5 linked regions of the Nothobranchius furzeri genome follow. The protein of the gene in region 3 purifies or fractionates together with the protein of the main gene of each other region. This does not show direct contact. Links are inferred from orthologs where the notes say so. Each region holds a gene or a part of one and is shown on either strand. Other genes may lie near its edges.

Region 1 (4,557 bases), on a different chromosome or scaffold from region 3:
ATGGCGGGAGGTTCTGGTCTGGATGGACCGTAACCTCCTGCCTGAGGGAAGCGGCTCAGAAAGTCTGTGACCCGGGTGCGAAGGGTCAGCTGCAATCCGACCTGCACGCCCCCGAGTTCTGGAGACGTACAGGTCCTGGAGAGATGGAAGGCTGCAGCCAATCACCTTCTCAGCAGAGCGCACAATGCGCTGCAGTCTATGTTTGTCCCTCACTGTGGCTCCAGCGTACCACACAGCGATGGAGGAGGTGAGGATGGACTCAATGATGGCCGTGTAAAACTGCACCATCATCTGGGCCGGCAGCTTGGCCTTTTTCAACTGCCGCAGAAAGTACAGAATGGGAGATTGCTCCACGGTCATCCATAATCTGTATGCTCTGGGCAGTTACACGTTTCTGAGGAGCACGTGAGGGATGGATTGAGCTCTTTGTAAGATTTGTATTCAACTACTTTCACTTGACAACAAAACCATGGAAATGCATTCAATATTCACTTTGATTACCCCCGATATTAAATGTCATTAAGGATATTTTCTTGTGCAGCCACAAATCAATTTCCCTCTGGGATTAATAAAGTATTTTTGAATTGAATTTGAGGTTTGAATCGCCAGCTCTTACCTTTGGAGTCCTTTGTCTAGATGGAATCCCATCCAGCACAGCGATGGCGTCTTTATCCAGCTTTAAAATGGTGTAGCATTCAGCTATCTTGTACTTCACTTCTATTTCTGATGGCAAACTCTACAAGACACGGTACCAAATTTGAATAGCCTTTGCACATCAAAAGCACATTTTCACTTCACAATGAAACAAATCTGTTTAGTGATTTTTTTAAAAAGACAACGTTGAGCCTACTAAACCGTTGTTTTCAGTATGTGATTGTGAGACTGTTCTGAGATCTGTGAATCTATGACAATATGACCAGACCATAGATCCCAGATTATAAGAAATTTAGTAATGAACTAGTTTTCAGCAGAAACTATTTAAGTACACACCTGTGCCTGTATGTTAGATGCTGCTCCACCAGTTGAAGTACGAACTTTAGACGTTTTGTTGAGCACCTTTTTTTGTTGAAGAGCCATATTGTACTTGCAAGCTGCATTTCGGTACTCCTTGTCATGAAAGATGGCATCAGCATGGTAAACCAACAGCTGATACTTCTGGGCTGGAGAGAACAGCTCCCTTCAATCATAAGACACAAATATTAGTTTTGATTAATAAAAGACAAAAGAAAAGAAACATCTCATCTCTGTGATCTTCATGGTAAAAATGTAAAAAACAGCAGGAAATTTCTTTAAAACATGGTGAATAAAATGAATGAAAAAACATTTAGTATTTGTTTATGCTGCATTTAAGCAGCCCAAAAGCAGTTACTGCTTTTAACCCTTTACAGGCCAAGCGTTCATATTTACACACTTCACACACATCATTAATTATGTCAGTACGCCTTTTCACAGATTCTTAGAATTATGGGATTTCACCAACCAATCACCAGGGATCAAGCTAGTCACAGTTTGCGCCATGACACAGTTTGACCAATCACTGCAGGGCTATAGCACGCCAAAGATTGGTGTGTCTGAAAGATCAGAAAACTGCCTTCCTGCAGCTTAGAATCCTCTTATGTTTACAGTCAGATCTCTAAAACTAACAGGGTTATGAAACGCACACATCATAACGCTGACTAGTTTAGCTAAATAAGGATATGTGTGTTGTAAATGTTAAACTCAATGATGTAGGTGAAATCATAGCATGAAAATCAAAGCTGTCATATTTGATCATACACCCTCAACAAGTACAACAAATTATGTGTATCTGTAGGTAAACTCTATTGTTCTTTAGACATAATCATAATAACAGTAATAATAACAATTGTACTGAATACTGAATATATTTTTCTGTTTTAAACTACGACTTCTATGTAAAATGGAGGACAGTTATTGTGCCAGCCAATCTCAAAATCAGTGATGATAATGATGATGAACAAGAAGAAGATAGTGAGGCAAATCATCAAATATAAAATATTCTAATAATATATTCCATTTATTTTTTTAAAATGCTAATCTGTTTTTAAGAAAAACAAATTATATTGTTTAATAATTGTGATATAAATCTGTATAATTCTACAGTGATGTAATGTTCTAAAATTAGCTAGATTATTCTCGAGTCTCTTATAATCATTTATACTATTCAAAAATAGTATTTAACTTGTTCGTGTCTTTTGTTTTAGGATTTACCAGAACAGAGCCAGCGTCCATATTTGATCACTTTCTTTGTCACTGACTTTCTGGATGAAAATAAATATTTTTGAAATTTGTAACAGAAGAATATTTTTGTTATAAACCACAATAACACCCTAAGGTTTACATTGTAATCACTCAAATGAATGCTCAAATGAAGGATTAAAATAATCAGATCCACAACATAGCGACAGAAAGAAGAAAACTAGAACAATCACAAATGTGTCTGGCAACTTGTCCTGAACTATTTAACAGCTGGAGCCACTGTTACATGCAGCTGTACCCTCGGCTGTGACTATGTCTTGGACAATAACAGCGTGTTTACCACAGAAAATCAACGCAGTTCATTCGAGTGACAATTTAATACAATATTGCCAAACAGTTGCTTTCAACTATGTCAGCTGCCGTTGACACCAACCTAGTCTTCAGATATCACTGCGGAATTTTTCCCCCCATAACAAGCAAACACAGGTAAGTACAAAAACACTCATCAGGAAATAGACGTGTCCCTGCAAAAATTACTTACGGGTTGTTATTACTCATCGTCAGCAACAAACTGCTCAATATGCGAACATTTGAGTATAAACCAGCCGCAGCCATATCCCGAACGTGGTCAACAACATTCATTTTTGTGTAATGTTAGGTCTTGCTATGGGCTTCTACGACTGATTCAAAGTTTTTAGCACAAAATAGCTAACGACAGCTAGCATCTGATGTATTAAATATGGCGCCGAATAACCTCCCTTCCTCTCACTGATGCATTTAGGAGCTCTTCGCCAGCTCGTTTTCTTAACAATCAAAATTCTACCAGAGATGTATTTTGGAGTCCATGGACGATTCAAACGTGGTTAAGTAAATGTGTTCGATTTTTAGTTTTATTTCTAGTTCTGAACATGGTTTTGAAGCAGAACGATTCTGTAACTTATTTCACAATAAAAGTTAGGGGTAGATTGGACATTTCCGACAGGAACGCATCATGAAGGAAAACCGCAACTCTCATTGGTTTAACATATATGGAAAATATTTATTTATTTTACATTCTGACAAAATTTACTCTGATTAGCAATAAATACTAAAAAGTTAATTGGAATTAGTAATTTTATTAAGTCTTTAAAAACAAATCTCCTAATTAAGCACAATTGTCTTAAGGATTTTTATATAAAAAATCCATGTCTGATATTTCACAAACTAAACAAGTAGAAAATTGTGTTGATTATATATGTGGACAGACTTTAGGACCCAAGTGTTGTAGTGTTGTACCCATCGACATTAGTACCCTGACCCAATATGGCGGCTGCAGTGATGCATTGTTCCAATGACCAGGAGATATCTATGTGGAGTCTGGCAGAGGTCAAGTGTGGAAAAAGCCCTGACCCCAGCCAGGCTCTGTAGAAATCTGAGCAGAAGCCAAAAGATAAATTGTGGTCTCACAGACAGGACTTTTATGGTGAGTCTGGATACCTGTTCCTCTAGGGTTCATGGGATTACATGTGGTATGCCCCAGGGTTCAATTTTAGGCCCAGTGCTTTTTAACCTTTATATGCTCCCTCTTGGCAGTGTCATCAGGAGACACGGGGTGAATTTCCACAGTTACGCTGATGATACACAGCTGTACATCTCTGTGTCTCCTGATGACACACGGCCAATGGATGCACTTTTTAACTGCATTTTAGACATCAAAACCTGGATGGCAGAAAACTTTCTCCAGCTCATCCAGGACAAAACTGAAGTTTTAGTTATCGGTCCTGAGACCCAGAGAGAGAAACTTTACCAAAATTACAATCACTGTCTTTTAATCCATCTTCACAAGTGAAGAACCTGGGTGTCATTTTTGACTCTGAGCTGACTTTTATCCATCATATTAAAAATATCACCAAAATAGGTTTTTATCATCTAAAGAACATCGCCAGAGTCTGCCCCATTCTCTCTCGGGTCAATACGGAGACGCTGATGCATGCGTTTATCACCAGTAGGATAGATTACTGCAATGCCCTGCTTTCTGGTCTTCCTAAAAAGAGGATTTCAGGTCTACAACTATTACAAAACTCAGCAGCACGTGTCCTGACGAAGACCAGGAGGCGGGAGCACATAACTCCGGTTTTAGAATCATTGCATTGGCTCCCCATATGTTTCAGGATCAATTTTAAAATACTTTAACGGTTTTTAAGTGTCTTAATGGTCTTGGGCCTTCTTATCTTTCAGAACTGCTTTTGCCGTATAAAACCACGCGGTCTCTGCGCTCCTCTGGCAGCCGTCTCCCTGTCATCCCTAAAGTCAGAACTCATATTCAGCACCTTGGGCTTCCTGACAGGGTTGCGGAAGGCG
Region 2 (4,006 bases), on a different chromosome or scaffold from region 3:
TGTAAAAAATAAACTCTAAATAAACTATGTTCACATCCAGAATCTAACCCGGGTCTTCTGCATGAGAGTCAGACATCTTACAAGGTGAGCTACACTCTAGTAACATTCACAGTATCTATAACTTTTATATCCTTGATGACAGCTGAAACGTTCAAAGAACGGTTCGAAGCGAAAATGGCTATTTTGTTGCTAATTTGCAGGAAATATCTAGAAGAAAGTTCTACAGAAAGTAGCTAAGGGTCCTCAGAAATATAGCTAGGTTTGTTACTAGGCGTTAGGAAGTTGGCACTGCCTCTCTCTCTGCTGCTAAAGCTACGGATAGCAAATGCTACGGGCTATGCCTGAGCGTGAACGCGCATGAAGCAGCCTGCTCGACCCGAGCATCTCTCTTTTTCTGTGATTTTACAGAAAAACAGGCAATCACAGTAAAAATGCCAGGGCTCATTCTACAGGACCAGGGCATTGCAGGAGAATGTATGAAGAAGACATTTATTATTTCTATACATGTTTTGGCTGTCACACTTCCGTACAGTCCCTTTAATTTAAAACAATAAAAATTTAAACATTTTAAATTATCTCTAAATGACCAGATGGTTGCTTGTTGCTCTGATGAAACACAGAAGATCTCTGATAACGTTAAACACAAAGCCTCAGAAAGCAGGTTTAACGTTCTGACCTTATTTATAAACACAAACAAACCATCACTGCATCAGCCACATAATGAAGATAAAACATGACCTCCTCTCCTCAGGTCTCACCTCGGATGATGCTGAAGAGCTCTTCGATCCTCATGTTGACGTAGATCCTGCAGAAGAACTGATGCATGTGGCATCTCCACTGCTTCATGATGGAGCTGGCAGGCTGGGTGCCCTGGATGCTGGACTGAATGGGACCACTGGGAGCAGCAGGAACAGGAGTGGCTCCGTCCACCTCACTGGCGAACACTTTGCTCAGCCAGCCAAGAACCAGCTCCAGCCACTGCAGGGACAGAAGAGCGTCAGAACATGAAGACAGGAGAGGAAACGGTGGAAAAGGGGTTTTACCTCCTGGAAGTCCAGCAAGAAGGAGCGCTCGTACTCGCCCCGGCAATGCTGCTCCATCCGCTGCTCGATGAGCTTGTGGAGGATGCAGGTGATGGCCTCTGAGCTGACCCACTCCAGCAGCTGTAGCTTCAGTCTACAAACACAAACAGCTGATCAAACATTCATCCGGACGAAGCAACAGCAGAAACAATCAGCAGTGAGATCCTCTCACAGTATGTGGCTGAGCTCCTGCAGCTGCTCCAGGGCCTCCTGACACCAGCACCTCAGGACCGGGACCCCACACCCTGGGCAGGACCCTCCACTGGGGCTGTCTGGAGCCTCGGCCACATCCTCATCGCTGCCCTCCAGTTTCATGTAGACGGAGAAAGTCCTGCTGTAAAACTCCAGCACTCGCTCCTGCAGAATGGGGGGAGGAGAGAACAGCAGGAGGGCTCTGATGGTGGTGAAGGCTCGCTCCTGGAGGCCACTGGGACCTGGACCACACAGACCACCACGACCCTCATCCTGCCACGCCCCAAGCTTCTCCAAACCACCTGCATGGAGGGAGATGGGAAACTAATTACCTGTTCCTCTTTGGTTTTATCCACAAAATAATATAGTGAAAGTCTGGAAAGCAAAAAAAATCCAAACAACTTTAGAAGTTGGAATAAAATCTTAAAGATTCAAGGACAAGGTCATCACTACTGTATTTGTTCTACTTGCTCAGAAAAGGTTCCAGGCGGTCCAACAGAGTCCTAAAAGCAGTGAGGAGAACCCATGCTCGATCTTTTTCCTCCAGCTCGTTCTCCGGCTGTTTCAGGCAAGACCAGAACTCTGGAACCACCGAGGACGACAGGCGCATCTGCAAAGTTTCCAGCAGCCAGATCCCGAGCAGTCGGCCCAAACCATGACTGCAGAGCAGAAGCAAGGAGTCAGAGAGGCTCTGGTCAGACACCGGGCATCCAGAAGACACCTAGAGAAGGACCCAAACAGAATGGTGGTATGAAATCCACCACAGAATCATCTCCAACCAGAAAAGGGCTGCTGGATGTCTGGTATTCAGGGGCAGGTGGTTAATGTAGGAATGGATGAGAGATGGAATCAGAACTGAGTAAAAGAGCAAAATCATTTCCAACATAAAATACACATTTTATTATAATATAGGTGTTTAATATAAGCCTTTTTCGACATGTCATTTGTGTTTGTTTTTAACTAAATGGCTGACTCAAACTTATGAATATTGAGTTGTTAGTAGTCAACCCATTTTTCTTTGCATGGAGTAAAGTTGTCAGTAAACACGATGACGTCAACAAATGTAAGCCGAAATCCACCGAATACTCCTGCTGACTATTTATAACGCCAGTTTTGTGTCTAGCCCTTAATAAACCAATGTAAAATCCAAAACATCATTCAATCGTGTGATTTACGAATGGAGTCTTGTGACAGCACTTCATTCAGTGTTTGGTTGCTCGTGTCCGAGGCTCTGACCCACTCACCAAAGCTGCAGTCACGGATTCCCACGCCTCAGCGAGCCCCTGGAGCGCTCCGGGCTCAGACATTTCCACCGAATCCGATTCCATCATCATTTCCTCCATTTTATGACACTTTCTTCACAAATGCCGAACCGGCTCCTGTAGATTCAGCATTTAAACCTCAGCATGTCTTGTCTTACCGCGGCGCTATGTGTAAAAAGCATGCCCCGTGTCTCAACCGTGTTTCAACGAGTTTACTAAATAATAACTTTTCCATTCAAGCAAATAGTAATTTACAATACAGATATGAACATGGTATGGCGGGTTGACTTCTTCTACTTTTTTTTATCACTTACATGCTACAGGGGTGGACACTGCCCCCTGCAGGTACCGTCCGTAAAAAGTATTTGTTGAGTTTGAATCGGTTTTAATGTTTACTCGCCCCCTCTAGCGGTTAGAATAATCACTACAGCCGGCCACAGACACAAGTTGACAGAACTGAACTACAAAATAAAACATTTCAAAATTGCTTATACAAACTCCACCAGGTGTCAGTAAAGGCCAAATGTTATGAAACTGTACTTATTTTTGTATAAAATTTAAATAAAATCTTTCGAAACGGATGTTAATATCAATAAATATTTCGACATATCTTAGAGAGTAATATAGATGCTTAATGTCTGTGAAGGTTCTCAGTCATCCAGGTCATTGTAGTCTAAGGAGCTTTGAAAGAAAAGCGTCTGGACTTCTTTGAGTTGCTTGAAGACAAAGCTCCTTAGACCATAGATGCTTAATGCACACAAATACAGCTATAAATAATAAATAAATAAATAAACATTTTTAAAAACTGGATCATGACATGTCTTTTAAACGCCGTCGTGTCTCTTATTTTGACAGGTTGTGTGAAAACCGTATCCGCCTTAGCAGCAGCTAGCAGCAGAGACATCATCATGGCAACCGAGTACGAGTGAGTTTGTTGATATGGCAAAAATTCCTTCAAAATATTCATGACACGCTTTGAATTTTACCCGCACGCTCCCGCACATTAAGGTTTGCTGTTCTCGGTACAATCGGATGAAATGTCGTAGGTGTTGTAGCTAGCTGAAGGGGAAGCTAACAGGTTACGTCAAAAGGGCCAGGCTAAAAACAGTAAATAAGCCGAAAACCGTTTTTGTTTACAGTGTTCAGTCTGAGATCGAGGTTCTGCAGTCCATCTATCTGGACGAGCTGAAGGTGGACAGAAGGGACGAGGGGTAAATCTGCTCATTTCAGAACATCTTTGTGTTATAAATCACTGGTTGGGTTATATGTGAGCAAATAATGATATGAAGACGTTAAATATTTGCAACAAAGGGATAAGAATGTCTCCCAAATCTATTTGATGGGAAAAAACTCAGCTGATTATGTTATATATATGTATATATATTTTTTAACTCTTACCATGGGTTTAATTTAATGACAGTCAACCAGAATTAAATGCATCTGTATAAAAAATTATTAGCAATCAAAACA
Region 3 (4,841 bases):
ACCGTGCTAGCTTTTCATTTGCCAGTTTCTCACGGACACACAGCTCCTGCTCCCTTTCTGGAGTTAAGGAAAAGAAGGAAACAAAAAAAAAACAACAACAACGTTGTTTCCATGAACACTCTGCAACATGTTAACACCACAGTTAAGCCAGGGGCTGAAGTAGGTCAGCGTTTGACTGTAATATTTGTTTTTTGTTAAAGATAATAAACCAGTTCCATCCACACAAATTGGTTTGACTACAACGCATCAGTCTTTAACCAGCACCTTTAGTTACAGATACGCTTATTTCATTTATTTATTGCTGTGAACATCACCTACAGGGTTCAAATCAGTGCCACCTACTGAAACAAATGCTTGTTTGTTTTTCAAAAATGGGGAAACTTTGCTTTATTCCCCAAACAGATTCTCCCTTTTTAGTTCTTTCTAAAATCAGCATTAGGAACTTTAACGTTTTATTTGCAGGTGGAGGAACAAACTTCTTCTAGATAATGAATTCCACAACAATCAAAAGAAGGCTACATATGTTGCTAATCATTTGCATTTTTACAAAGTGACCCAACTTCTTAGAAACAGGGTTAAATATTACCGTTCTGTTACACATGATGTTTGTGTAGCACAAGTCTTACTCTCAAGTCTCTCCTCATGCTCCCTCAGGGCGAGTTCCCTGTCCCGCACTGCCTGTTCCCTCAGTCGGAGCTCTGCAGCTGGGATAGACACTTCAGCTGGCTTATGGGGGGCGCGGTCAGGGTCTGGAGACTTCCTTTGGGTCCGTATCTGTGCCTTCCTCTGCTCCTCGGAGACCACGTCTCTCAGCAGACTGCTCTGGAGGATCGACTCCACAGACGGCCTCAGATAGTCCTGCCAACAGTGAGGAATGATTTCAATTCAAAAATACTTCATTGATCCCAGAGGAAAATTCAAATTTGTGCATCATCACAGCAGGAAAACATGCACAGTGCCTACAAAAGTGCACAGCCATCTTACACACTATTACAACATTGTTAAATAATTCATTCCAAACCTTTAAGTTGAGCATCTTGCTGAGTAAGGCATTCAGCTCCTCAGAGTACCGGTATGGGATTCGTCTGAACTTTCCCTCTCGGATCTTCTCTGCCAAGTCTTGCTGGTTGTACGCTGTGAACGGAGGCCTAAATGAGAAAAACCCAGGGAATATTCTTAGGGGTGTTGGAAAACTGCTACAGGGAAGGAAAATGTGTGGAAGAGCTTACAATAATGCACAAAGTTCATACAGCAGGCACCCCAGGGACCAAATATCAGACTTCTCGTTGTACGACATCCTGTTAATTTGTTCCTGCAAGAACAATAATGACTGAAATTGAGTCATTTCTATAAAAAGAGAGATTTTTAAATGTTTATTTTAATGTGTAAAATCTATTTTTAAACTGTAGATCTGGAAAAGCAACCGTCTCATATACAGGTGAAAATGATTCATAACTAAACAATATAAATAAAATTCTAGTAATATGTTCAAATGAAGACAATAAAACAAAAATTGCAAATATCCCAGAAACTTTTATAATCAAAAGCTCAACAGATGTGACATCATCAAGTAACTTACAGGAGACATGTAGTACGGCGTTCCCACAAAAGTCTTTGCAAAGCTGGTGTCATGGTTCAGAATCCTTGCTAGACCGAAGTCACCGAGCTTAACGTTCTGTTTAATGTCGAGGAAGATGTTGGCTGGTTTCAGGTCCCGATGCAGGACCGTAGCCCTGCCGTCACGCCGCCTGTGACACTCCTTCAGGGCCAAGGTGAGCTGAGCCATAACTCTCAGAATGAACCTCTCCTCCAAGTAACGCCTGGAGAGGAACTAACTTGTAACTTTGCAGATTCACAGAGGACAGACGCATTCGTGAGCCCTTACCTTTCTTTGATGCACCGGCTGATGAGACTGGAAAGGTCTCCACCTTCACAGTACTCCATGACGATGTAAAGCGTGGTGTTCGTACGATCTATGATGCGGTCGTAGTATCTCACTATGTTTGGGTGCTTGAGCTCCCGCAGCAGGTTCACCTCTGACACCAGCATCTGCTTCTCACTCTCTGCCATGGTGCCGTAGTCCAGCTCCTTCCACACCAGAATCTACAGAACACATGGGCATCATTTACAAAGAGTTTTGTCGTGAAAACATACAGTTTTTACTCCAATTAAGAAAAAAGGGGCAGATATGAAATGTATTCACTAGACGTAAAAAGGGCCTTTTTGTCAAATGAAATCCTTTCTATCCTGAAATACTAATTAAAAGCTGCAAAAGATTTCCAAAAGGAGCAAGTGAATGGTCTCTTAGGCTGTTGAATATATCTGGCAACTATAAACTACTTTGCAGCACTTTTTTAAAATCTTATATTGTGTTAATTCTGAGTATATTTTGATAGATTGGTGTAATTAGCAATACAGACTGTGTTTCAAACTTATTAAAATTCTAAATGTTTAATTATTTTAATGTTTCACACACATTTTTTCAGCTGTTAAGAGTCCCAATCACTGCAATGAACAACTACAGGCACTTTATGGCGAATCGTCTTGCTTTAAACATTTTACCAGCTGTTTTTTTTAGACTTCGTTTGGAGACATACTCACTTTCCCGTCATTTTTCCGTCTCACTTTCTGGCATCTTCCATAGGAACCGGAGCCTATGGTGTACAACACCTCGTAGTCCTCAACACGGGTCGGCATCTTGTTTTAGTCAACGCTAGCGTCAACGTTAGGGCAGATTCACACAAGATTTAAAGCTCGTTTAAACCAGAAACTTCAAAACTTATTGAGATTTTTAGCAAAGTATCGTTTGTCTGACCAGATGATTAAAAAAATAGAAATGTACGTTTACTTATTATTTACTCACTTAAATCGCTTCTGTGTGTTGTTTGTTTCTCAGAATCAGGAAGTATTTCTTCTGTTTAAAATTAGTGCTGAAATACCAGCTCGTGATTGGCTCATTCGCTCCATCTTGTGGCTTCGGATTGGTCAATGTGAAGAAACAACTCACGAGGTTGTCAGGTACCTAAGTACCGCGATAGTAGCGCGGGTAGACGGTATTATTGTTAAACTGTCCACACGATGGCGCTAAAACCCATGGTATGAATGACAGGACCATGATGACATCTAATATATATATATATATATATATATATATATATATATATATATATATATATATATATATATATATATATATATATATATATATATATATATATATATACATACATATATATATTTTTCAATATTTATAGAACAAATCAAACAAGTGTTTTGACGAATAGATGTTGTGATAAAAACATATAAATTTAACATTGTATATTTCAGTAAATTGTTTGGGACTTTTTATCAACTTTGTGATTTTAAAACACCTTCTGCTCGGTTAAACTTTTAATATAAGTTTTAAGCAGGTGTTTTATAGTTGATAATTTGGCTATGTAATGTTAGCCTTTTTAGAGAGATCTGTTTGCTTGTGTTTTTAAAACCTTTTTGTTACAAATAAACCCATTTTAAACTCCTCCACCAGTTCTTATGTTACCCCCATCCTTCACATTTTTACAACACCTGTCGGGGACGTAACAAATTGTCTCGACAGTGAAATGAAACAATCTAAATCATTTTCTGTATTTTAAAAAAGTGTCAAATGTCTCATGATGAAATAATAGAACTTAAGTAGGCTGATAGACTTGTTTTGTGTTGGGGGTGTGAGGGGTGGTGGGTAATGTCTTGATGTGAAAAAGAGGCAGATATAAGTTTTTGCTTCTTTCTGCTCCTTTTCATTTATGATTATTTGGGAACATGAGTTGTTTTATGTAACTTTTATTTGATTGATTGAATGAAATAAACGAAGAGAAACAAACTCATATTGTTCATTTCATTACATGATTTAATTATGAAAGTTCCTCCTTCTTGTTCTGTGAAGCAAAGCAGTCTTAGATAAGAGGGAGCTTGCGAGGGACCTTGGGCAAGCAACAGTATCTTTCTTGCAGATTAAAAGCACCAGTTAAGACTTATGTCTCCAAATGACCAGATACTGAAGAGGGCACACTGTAGATGAAAACTGACCATTTCTGGAGGCTATAATAGGCTAAATACCCCAGAATACTGCTGTTAAATTACAACTGTTTAACTTTGAAAATGGCATCTCATAAGTCCTAAAACTTTTTTGTTAAACCACTCAAACCTCCTAAATAAGGAATTCATCTATTTCATTTATCTCTCCTCCCCAAAACTTTTATGACTACTTAGGCATCAACATTTTTATTTTCATTTTAAACAAGGATAAGCTCTAAATGATTGTTTTTTGCATTCTCCCCAAACCCATAACAAGGGAAAAGCAACTTTAATTTTAGTTTTGGCTTGTAAAACTCAAATCTGAGAGGAGTAAATCCTCTCAGTGACAGATGATTCCTCTAAACGTGTGATCCCCACGTGGGATAAATGCAGTCTCTGGGATCTCTGTTAGTTAGCGGTCTTCTGGAACGATTCCGATTATCCTCTCTGCTTGCCAGCACCACACATCGAGTGAGATCCCAGAGCCGGTCTGTCAGTCTGCCTCTGCAAAGGTCACTCCTCCAAAGAGCTGGAGGAGTTTGGACATCAGCCAGGAACAGTTGTGGGGAGGAGGAGGAGGATGAAGAGGAGGAGGGAGCGAGTGGAAAACTGACAGCTAAAAACAACAGAGACGATTGGATGCTGGAGGCGGCTCTGATGTCAGCCATCCCTGTTAAAGGAGGAGGAGATCCGGGGCAACAGGGAGGAGGACAGATATCTCCATCCCACAGTGACCTCCTCACCTCGGCTGAGGTGACTGTAATCGAGATTATGAGTGGCTTTTAGAC
Region 4 (4,642 bases), on a different chromosome or scaffold from region 3:
AGTGTCATTCCTTGCTGTATTTGATATGGTAAAATACAAAGCAATTATTAGATATTTCAAAACAAGAAGCTGTAAAATACCCAGAAACAATATAACAGAGTGAGACGTGTGTAAATTTCATGAAACTGATGCTCCACTATTGTTACCATTTGATTAATTTCTGTTAAATAATTAATAAACCTACCTTCAAGTGTGCTGTGTGTCCTAGTCCTCCTTCCTGGTTTTACTGGGTCCAGGTTTGTCTTGTTTATGTGAGAAAGAAACAAAAAGAGGCTTTGCCTCTCTCCCCAGAAGAGCAGCCTTATTGGTCAGATGACAGGTAGGATCTTTCAGGTTTAGGGTCCAATTGCGTTCTGCCTCTGCAGTGGGCTGCTGTCCCATCTGTGCTGGTCCCTAACTGCTCTCTGAGTGGGGCTAAATTTGGCCCCTAGCTCATGTTACACAGCCAGACTGCTGGCAGGAGCAATGAAGACTGAGGGGGTCTAGGTGAACAGAAGGAGCTCAAGGTGTTGGTTAATTATACACAGAAAGCACAGGATGTTGGGATGGCTAAGTTTCACACCAATTGTGCTGTTGTATGCAAGTACAACAGAATGTTTGTAATCTTTTATGATAATCTGAACTGGCCACATCTGAAAACACACAATAATCACCCATTGACCTCTCAGACTGAGCTGGTTCCTCCATGGCTTTAAAACAACTCAAAATTATTATGAGGATCTTGAAGAACCCGGTCACTATTCGGTCCGATTCCATTCTGCACACACATATGGAATGATGCTCAGCATTTTTGTTAAACTTCATGCATTTCCTGATTTCTCACCAAGCGAGACAGATATCCTGGGCCTTGGAAAGAATAAACCATGACCACCATGCAGCCTCACTTGGTCTATTTCTAGTCCACCATCACATTTTGTGCTCTCTGAGCTATTCTGGCTCTTCTTCATTCTGCTGATTACAGTTAAGTGCTGCTGATAAGTCCAGTAGGAGTTTCCATATACACTCACAATACACACGTGTGCAAACACTTGGTGAGTAATTTGGATTTCTACTTGACAATTGTCATCACCCAACCCTCTGTATGAAGTGTTATTTATAAATAACTACTTTATCCAATGGCGACGTCTCCATATAACATGTGTACAGCATCTATTTATGAGTACTGAAATATTTTAGCATAGTTTTATATCACCAGAATGAAACCACCCTTGCAAACTTTCCTATATTTCTAATGGAATTAATATAATTTAGTCAACCTTGAATTTTATGATCACTTTTAACTTTTAAATCCAAACAAATTCTAAGCAATGCATTCAATTGACAGAGAAGTACAAAAACACATTATGAAAAAACTTATTTTATATTTTGTCCTAAACCCTCAAAGTTTAAATCTACTTTTTAATCTGCATAGAATATAACATTTATTAAAAAATAAAAATAGGACCAAAACGTTAACTTTAATTTGTTTTAAATCCTTACCAAAGGCGCCATCATGGGGTGCAAATCTCTAGACATATTTAGGAATCGAGTTTTTTTTTATTCCCCCCCCCCCCCCCCCCTTCTGAATACGTTTGTCTCTTCTCGGCTGCCGTTGCTCTACAGGGATTGGTGGAAGTAGAAATATGGCGGTGTTTGAGTGACTGCGAAAATATTACGATGAGATATTAAATTCGTATATTTACGATTTGGGTTTATTTGGTGTTATCGTCTGGTCGGGTTAAAATAATCGCTGTGAATCATCAGTTTTACCTGCTAGCTAACAGCTGTTAGCAAAACCGGTGAGTGAGGCTCCAGCTAACGAGCGGCTAATTTATGCTTCATAAAATGAGTTGGAAATGGAAAAGTGTTGTGCCTTTAGCTCCCTTTTTGTTTTTGAATCTCGTTAAGTACTTCAATGTTTTCTCTTTTAGTTGTGACCCTGAAAACTCTACTGTTATCACGCAGAAAACACATAAATGTTTCAAAGCTCGTCTCCATCGCAGTGTAATTTAAGGTCTCGTTGCTCTCCGCATTGAGTTGTATTGTTTAGTGTGTCTTATTGCTGACGTCATGCTCATAACTCGGTTCTTTCATTACTGATTCTTGACTCTGCATTTGGGCCTCTGTATTCAAATGCTAACATTTCTATTTTTCTTTATTGTTACAATTATTTATTATCTTTACAGAAAAAGATTTTTAATATTTAATAATCAGTTGTATATTCAATAGTAAACGAAATATTGAAAAGGTATGTGATTTTTGATGATTATTCTGTTATGCATGTACAGGTTTATTAGATGTTTTACAGATCACTCATTGAATCTGTTCTCACTTTTAATAGCCCATCTTGGTACATCTTCTAAACCTTGTAATTAGGCCCCTGCTGGCCATTTATCACACAATAATGAATGTAAACTTTCTTTCTTTTTCAGCTAACAACATGCCTGCCTTTCGGCAAGTGGGAGAGAAGCAGCTTCCAAACCCGGTCCTCTGTATGGCATGGTCTCCAAAGAGGGATCTGATAGCTCTGGCCAACACAACTGGGGAGGTGACTTTAAATCCCTAACTGTTCTGAATCAAGGTGACTGTTTCCTGTTGTTTGGATGGTTTATTATTGTGATTTTCAACAGGTGCTACTGCATCGCTTGGCTAGTTTCCACCGGGTTTGGAGCCTACCACCCAGTGAATATACTGGAAAGAAGATAACCGCACTTGCTTGGAGGCCTGATGGCAAAAGTAAGGGATTTTTTTTTATCACATTTTTGTCTTAATGGAATTGTGAGAATTTGTTTTTTGTAACCCCAGTATTGGCCTTCAGTCTTGGAGACACCAAGCAGGTTGTCCTTTGTGGGGTTGAGAAAGCAGAGATCCTCCACATGTTTCCAGTGCAGAGTCCTGTAACCTGTATGAACTGGATGGAGGTGATGGAGGAGAGCAGGTAATCAGGAAGCTCAACAAACATACCACGTTCTGTGAAATCTTGTCAAAGCTGATATGAAGGATTTTTTGTGTGTGATTCAGTGTCCTCAGCTCCTTTTACACTTCAGAGGATGAATCTAAACTTTTTCTTCCTAAATTACCAACTCTTCCCAAGAGGTAAAATTAAAAATGTTGTCACAAGAAAAGACATTTTGGATTGACTGGCCTGATATTTGTCCAAACTTTTGTTTTCAGCTACAGCACAACTTCAAAGATCTTCAGGTGGGACATCTTTTTTTTTTATCATAGATGTATGTGGCATGTATAGCACAAACAGAAACTGACTGCATTCATTTCTGTTTCACAGTGAGGAGAAGTCTGATGAGATACTCAACCTCCTTGGAGAAGTGAGGTAAATATGGTTAGAGTCACTTACTGCCAGGAGCAAATGGACATCCTTAAGATATTGGAATTTTTATTTATGGGAACCAATGAAAGCTGTCTCCATGCAGACTAAATGTACTTGTTCTTGGAGGAGATGGTGGAAATGTGGAGCTGTATGCGTACGGGATGTACAAGATTGCAACGCTGGATGGGGTAAGGCAGCTCTGTTTGTTCAGATGAGTTGTTCCATTTGTCGTCTGTAAAAAAAATTTACCAAAAATGTTTTTAAGTGACTCTAAAGTTAGCATAGATATTTGAAATCATAAAAATTCTAATTTAAATGCAGGAAAAAAGTAGCTAATTATGCCAAAAATCTTTAGTAGACGGCATTAACGGATTTGACTGTGACTTTAATTGATGAACTTTCTACAGGTTTCAGGAACATGTCGCAGTCTGAGTCTGTCGAGTGACCTCAAGTCTCTGTCTGTCATCACAGAAGTCAAGTCTGCTGACAGCAGCGCAGACATCTGTTACGTCCAGGTGAGATGGACACGTTCCTCCTCCACACTTTGTTTTTCTTTCCTTTAACTCTAACTTCCCTCCTTGTGTTTCAGCTGGACACAGGATTGTTGTCGGACTGTTTGCCTGAACTCACCAGGATGGCGCGTAAGTTCACTCACATCTCCACCCTGATGCAGTACCTGCACCTGTCACTCACATGCATGTGCGAAGCGTGGGAGGACATCCTCCTGCAGATGGATCATCGTCTCACTAAGTTTGTTCAGGTCAGTTGTTTTTGTTTCCTGTCAGAGTTTTTCCTGGCAGACCACCACACTTCCTGCCTGCTGTGTGAGTTTGTTGGACAATTAGCAGAATTTAGCATGTGTGCTTATTAGTGATGGGATTTATAGCTCTTTCAAGGCGGCTGCTCGTTAGTTGTTCGTCTACCTTAAAGAGCAGTTCAAAAGACTAGATCCCTTGAACGAAGCCATGGGGGTGTATTTGGGAGCAACGTGTTCCTCCGGTGTCCATGAGGGCGCGCGGAGAGTGGGTGTCACAGCAGTGGTGGGGGTTGAGCGGCTAGGGGGGTTGTCGTTACAGGAAGACAAGATGAACGGCTCTCCACGGGGACTCAGCTCTCATCGTTCACTTTGAAATCTCATTCAAAAGATTTGATTTGTTCGTGAACGTCCCATCACTAGTGCTTATAAATTATACAATTTTCAGTTTTTCTGTCTTTATCGCAACCAATTTTGTTTTTATGTTTTAACCCTCTGGAGGCAGGCGTTGCAGATTTGCCTACCTGGTTACTCCACACACGTGTTTCATGAGCATTTTTTAACTCCGAAGTTCCCCTGAA
Region 5 (4,083 bases), on a different chromosome or scaffold from region 3:
CTGGTCTTCCAGCCTGCACTGTGAGACCTCTTCAAATGGTCCAGAATGCAGCAGCGCGTCTGGTCTTCAGTTAGCCTAAAAGAGCAATTCACCCCTCTGCTCATTGAGCTTCGTTAGCTACCTCTGCTGCATGCATCCAATTCAAATCGCTACACTAGCATACAACGTCCTGTATGGTACGCCTCCCATTTACCTGAATTCTCTTGTAAAGGCTTACGTTGCGGCTCGACCGCTCCGGTTATCACAGGATCGTCGGCTAACAGTACCTACACCACATAAGGACAATCCATTATTTTCATGACCTACCAAGAACTACTAGAACAGGGGCGTCCTTGTCGATTTTCAAGACCCAGCTCTTCAGAGAGCATCTTCTAAACTAGGACCCTCCCTGCACCCGTCCCTCACTCTGTCTACTCCTTGTTCGCTTCCCTCAATGATTGATTATGCTGCCTCACTGCCACCTGGATTGACTGATTTAGTATTTTGTTGTTAGCCTCAAGGGCAACTTGCTAGCTTCATTATCACTTGTAAGTCTCCGTGGACAAAAGCGTCTGCTAAATACATAAACATAAACCACCCAGTAGTTCCTGAGTGCAACCACTGCGGCAGTTCACTGCTCCCCATGGGGATGGGTCAAATGCAGAGAAGTGATTTCAGCTGTATGTGATGATGAATAATGGAACTTTATTATTCCTTTTTATTTCCACTTCCATTTGCTACAAATCTTCATTGTAGGTGAAGGTGAAGGGGCCTCGTTACTGGGAGCTGACTCTGGATCTGAGCAAAGAAACACATCATCTGAAGTAAGTAAAGAGGAAACATGTAAGGAAATAATTCTTTGCAAAGGAGAAATGTATTTCTGTTGAATTATACAGCTGTCCAGGATGCATTTACATAATGTAACATTTCTCACCTTTCAATAAAACGTTGTACTACTTTCTGAAATGTTGCTTTCAGGTCCATCCTATCCCAGGACGGGGTGTTGTATGTAAAACTGCGGGCCGGGCAGCTTCCCTACAAAGACGACCCTCAGGGATGGAAGAGTCTACTGACCACAGCTGTCAACCACAGAAGCTCTGGAGTCACAGCCTTTAAGGTGGAATGTATCTTATTCCTATAGGCTTCGTATTTCTGAACAAACTGCATCTATAATCAGAGATTTAGCCAGATAGTTTTATTTGCTTCATATTACATTTAGGTAGTCTGCAGATTACAGAAACTGTTACAGGTCCAGCTCTGAATAAATGCGTATTAATTGTTAATCCCTTTTTTGTTCCTGAAAAGAAAATTCAACATTTTTTGATATCGTAAACTGTGTTTGCATTTCGTGTAAATTTGAATAGACAATTTCCTCGTGAGCTTGGTATGCATTAAAACACATGCAGAGGAAAACATTATTGACTCCATTTGTCCTCAGTGTCCTTTCTTACTTCTCTTACAATTCGTTTAGTTTCTTATAACCCTTTTTGACCCAGTTTATCTCCTGTAACTTCATTTTTGAGGCACCATTCCTTCTCAAAGTCCTCACTGTTTTATTATTTTATACATAAGATTTTGCTGAACAAGTTCAATAATTTTGTGCGTGTGTCCACAGCCTGAAACCATCTCAACTTTCACTTCTAACCCTGCCCTCATCTCCTTTGCGGATTTCTTCTGTAAAACATCTGAAGGAATGAAACATGTGAGTCTTGTGCTGAACCCAGACGTAATCGTGTGTTGGTGGCCTAGCTGCCTTGTTTTTGATCAATGACAGGAAATGATTAGAATGAGAAAAAAAGTTTTTATTTTAGCAATTTAGAGTTTTACTCTTAATTGGATATTAGAAAATCAAAACTACATAACTGAATGTGACATCAGCTCTTGATGGTAACGGGTCAGTTGTTTGCGCTCTGAGCTGCATCACTGAGGAGAATATTTGGCTGCTTTTTATTCAAAAAATAGATTTTTCTACCCTGGAAAACAACCAGTTATGTTTTGTCTTTTTAAAGGTGCAATATGAGATGTTTTCCTAGCTACTATCTAAAGGTCCAACTAGGGCTGCTCGATTATGGCAAAAATAATAATCACGATTATGGTGACTGAAATTGAGATCTCGATTATTTAAGACGATTTTTCAATTAATGTTGATTTTATTTGTTTTTATTCAGTCTTAAAATTGCTCAGGGAACAATCAGGACAAAAATAAATAATAAACAAGATGATCACTGAAATAACTCCTGATTCCCAGTATAAAAAGACCAATATTACTTACAGCTCATAGTCTATGACCCAAGGGCTATAGACCTTGGTTTAACTCATTTAAGTCTAACCAGTACAGACCCAAATACCAATATCTTGCAAATACTGACAGCAAGAATTATGCAGTGGCATTTATAACAAATGCATGCAAATTGATGTTCACAAAATGTTGCATAACATTTATTTAGTCATGTCAATGTGCTGTAGGAGAGTGCACTAGCACCGTGTCCTCAGAGAGATTAGTTATTATTTATCAGCGTGAGGAACTTATTTCTATCTATTTCTACCTTATTTATAAACTATTTACAGGTCCATCAGTTAATGTAATAATTGTCCCAACCACAGCTGCACTCTTTTTTTATTTTTTGTGTAGGCGAGGTGGGCAAGGTGGCTTTGCTGTTTATGAAATTAAAGAAAGTGGCATGCTGACCAATCGCAAGCTTGCGGTCTTAGCTGCCTTTTGACTGACGGTTCAAAAGTTTCACGCCTCCGTCACCCTTTGCTTCAACGCATGGTGGTGTTGCTTCTCTCTGTCACAACAACCTTAAAACCACCCACTGCTGCATTACTTGCATTGAGTTCTGCAGTTTCTCAGTCCCATTGCTGGGCTCTACTTCAGTTCTTCTCCTGCTGTCCTGCTGCCTGCAGCCTTTTCTGGTCTAATCCGGGTTGTAGCTGCTTCATAATTTGCTGTGTCTTTGTAAACTGCTCCAAAACTCTGCTGAGTCTAGTTACTTCTGCAAACACGCGTGTGCACGCTCTGTGATGGACACCTGCACATAAGCGGATGTCTAATGTTATTGGCTAATGCTGAATTAAGGTCTGTAGTGGTTGGATTATGTTTCTTGACCAAGTTTTACACGGCTGATAAACAGCTGCCTCATCATGACATCAGGTGTTTGTGTAGTTTACTGAGGTCAGTCGGTTCATCCTTCACACTAAACCTCAAGAAGTTATTCTGTGGTGTAGCTTCCACATCGTGCATTTGAATTTAACAAAATGTATGTTTTTATCAGCCCTGTCTCTCTAATTCTCCATCTGCTGGTAGCCTGACCTCAGTTATTAGACATCAACCTTTTGGTTTTTATTTTATTTTAGATGGAATACTGTTTTCTAGCATTTAATTGTAAGATTGTTTGTTGATTCTTGTCTAATTTAGCATGAAATAAGCTCATATATTGTTGATAATTGATTTAGCCTGATGTGACCTGGTTTTGAAGTTTGTGGAAATAAGTTAATCATTTAAGAAGATGAAATTAACTTGTACCAAGTAGACGACTTCCAAATTAAAGAGCGCAGAAACGGATTATTACTTGTTGAGTTGATGGAGCTGCAAATCAGATACATCACCTAATAGCACCACAGTGTGACTGTGCAATTTAAAAGTCAATACATTTAAGAGAATACACTCGAGTCCTCTCTGTGGTTGTGCATAACAACAGATGTTTACTTGAACTTAATATTGCAAACTTACCATGAAGAATTCCAGGAAGAAAACAGAAATCTGAACAAACATTTCTCTTATTAGAGGATGAAACACTGAATCCTGCTCTCTTGTGTCTGACAGAGGAAGGACACCCACATGTTCTCAGCTATGCTCTACGAATGCGTGACGCAAGAGTGTCCAGAGATGCTGCCAACGTACATCGCCATTGAGCAGGTAACGCCCAAACCCAACTAAAACATGCACTAAGCTGCGTGAGGACAGCAGATGATCGCTTATGCAGCAGTCGGCAATTAATCTTACAACATACCCTGCTTTAAATATTCTATCCCATGTTATTTTACACATTTCAGAGCATGGACAGATGATAAAATATTACCGTTGGTGCTATGGAGATGTCA

The links.
Region 1: the proteins of nek2 (region 3) and anapc7 purify together in Homo sapiens (affinity purification with mass spectrometry; 3 studies listed by BioGRID and IntAct, with this or other methods). This does not show direct contact. The link is inferred for Nothobranchius furzeri from reciprocal best matches to the Homo sapiens genes NEK2 and ANAPC7.
Region 2: the proteins of nek2 (region 3) and anapc2 purify together in Homo sapiens (affinity purification with mass spectrometry; 4 studies listed by BioGRID and IntAct, with this or other methods). This does not show direct contact. The link is inferred for Nothobranchius furzeri from reciprocal best matches to the Homo sapiens genes NEK2 and ANAPC2.
Region 4: the proteins of nek2 (region 3) and anapc4 purify together in Homo sapiens (affinity purification with mass spectrometry; 6 studies listed by BioGRID and IntAct, with this or other methods). This does not show direct contact. The link is inferred for Nothobranchius furzeri from reciprocal best matches to the Homo sapiens genes NEK2 and ANAPC4.
Region 5: the proteins of nek2 (region 3) and anapc1 purify together in Homo sapiens (affinity purification with mass spectrometry; 3 studies listed by BioGRID and IntAct, with this or other methods). This does not show direct contact. The link is inferred for Nothobranchius furzeri from reciprocal best matches to the Homo sapiens genes NEK2 and ANAPC1.

What each region holds. Positions count from the first base shown.
Region 1 is NC_091757.1:28,342,504-28,347,060, forward strand, and holds the start of anapc7 (anaphase-promoting complex subunit 7), read right to left. Parts: upstream 2,974-4,557; 5' UTR 2,860-2,973; coding exon 2,759-2,859; intron 1,178-2,758; coding exon 991-1,177; intron 737-990; coding exon 617-736; intron 1-616. UniProt on the Homo sapiens protein: Component of the anaphase promoting complex/cyclosome (APC/C), a cell cycle-regulated E3 ubiquitin ligase that controls progression through mitosis and the G1 phase of the cell cycle.
Region 2 is NC_091745.1:17,481,439-17,485,444, reverse strand, and holds the start of anapc2 (anaphase-promoting complex subunit 2), read right to left. Parts: upstream 2,801-4,006; 5' UTR 2,618-2,800; coding exon 2,519-2,617; intron 1,996-2,518; coding exon 1,746-1,995; intron 1,577-1,745; coding exon 1,255-1,576; intron 1,177-1,254; coding exon 1,044-1,176; intron 979-1,043; coding exon 759-978; intron 1-758. Other genes in the region: E3 ubiquitin-protein ligase RNF25, read left to right, coding at 3,349-3,461, 3,676-3,747. UniProt on the Homo sapiens protein: Together with the RING-H2 protein ANAPC11, constitutes the catalytic component of the anaphase promoting complex/cyclosome (APC/C), a cell cycle-regulated E3 ubiquitin ligase that controls progression through mitosis and the G1 phase of the cell cycle.
Region 3 is NC_091742.1:7,800,610-7,805,450, forward strand, and holds the start of nek2 (serine/threonine-protein kinase Nek2), read right to left. Parts: upstream 2,973-4,841; 5' UTR 2,864-2,972; intron 2,856-2,863; exon of another isoform or gene 2,714-2,855; 5' UTR 2,698-2,713; coding exon 2,602-2,697; intron 2,104-2,601; coding exon 1,886-2,103; intron 1,821-1,885; coding exon 1,580-1,820; intron 1,313-1,579; coding exon 1,230-1,312; intron 1,149-1,229; coding exon 1,022-1,148; intron 859-1,021; coding exon 627-858; intron 58-626; coding exon 3-57; intron 1-2. UniProt on the Homo sapiens protein: Protein kinase which is involved in the control of centrosome separation and bipolar spindle formation in mitotic cells and chromatin condensation in meiotic cells.
Region 4 is NC_091748.1:39,288,193-39,292,834, forward strand, and holds the start of anapc4 (anaphase-promoting complex subunit 4), read left to right. Parts: upstream 1-1,599; 5' UTR 1,600-1,778; intron 1,779-2,411; 5' UTR 2,412-2,419; coding exon 2,420-2,527; intron 2,528-2,609; coding exon 2,610-2,715; intron 2,716-2,784; coding exon 2,785-2,917; intron 2,918-3,000; coding exon 3,001-3,075; intron 3,076-3,153; coding exon 3,154-3,180; intron 3,181-3,265; coding exon 3,266-3,310; intron 3,311-3,410; coding exon 3,411-3,495; intron 3,496-3,714; coding exon 3,715-3,822; intron 3,823-3,896; coding exon 3,897-4,067; intron 4,068-4,642. UniProt on the Homo sapiens protein: Component of the anaphase promoting complex/cyclosome (APC/C), a cell cycle-regulated E3 ubiquitin ligase that controls progression through mitosis and the G1 phase of the cell cycle.
Region 5 is NC_091752.1:26,832,933-26,837,015, forward strand, and holds part of anapc1 (anaphase-promoting complex subunit 1), read left to right. Parts: intron 1-735; coding exon 736-803; intron 804-957; coding exon 958-1,096; intron 1,097-1,594; coding exon 1,595-1,681; intron 1,682-3,805; coding exon 3,806-3,898; intron 3,899-4,083. UniProt on the Homo sapiens protein: Component of the anaphase promoting complex/cyclosome (APC/C), a cell cycle-regulated E3 ubiquitin ligase that controls progression through mitosis and the G1 phase of the cell cycle.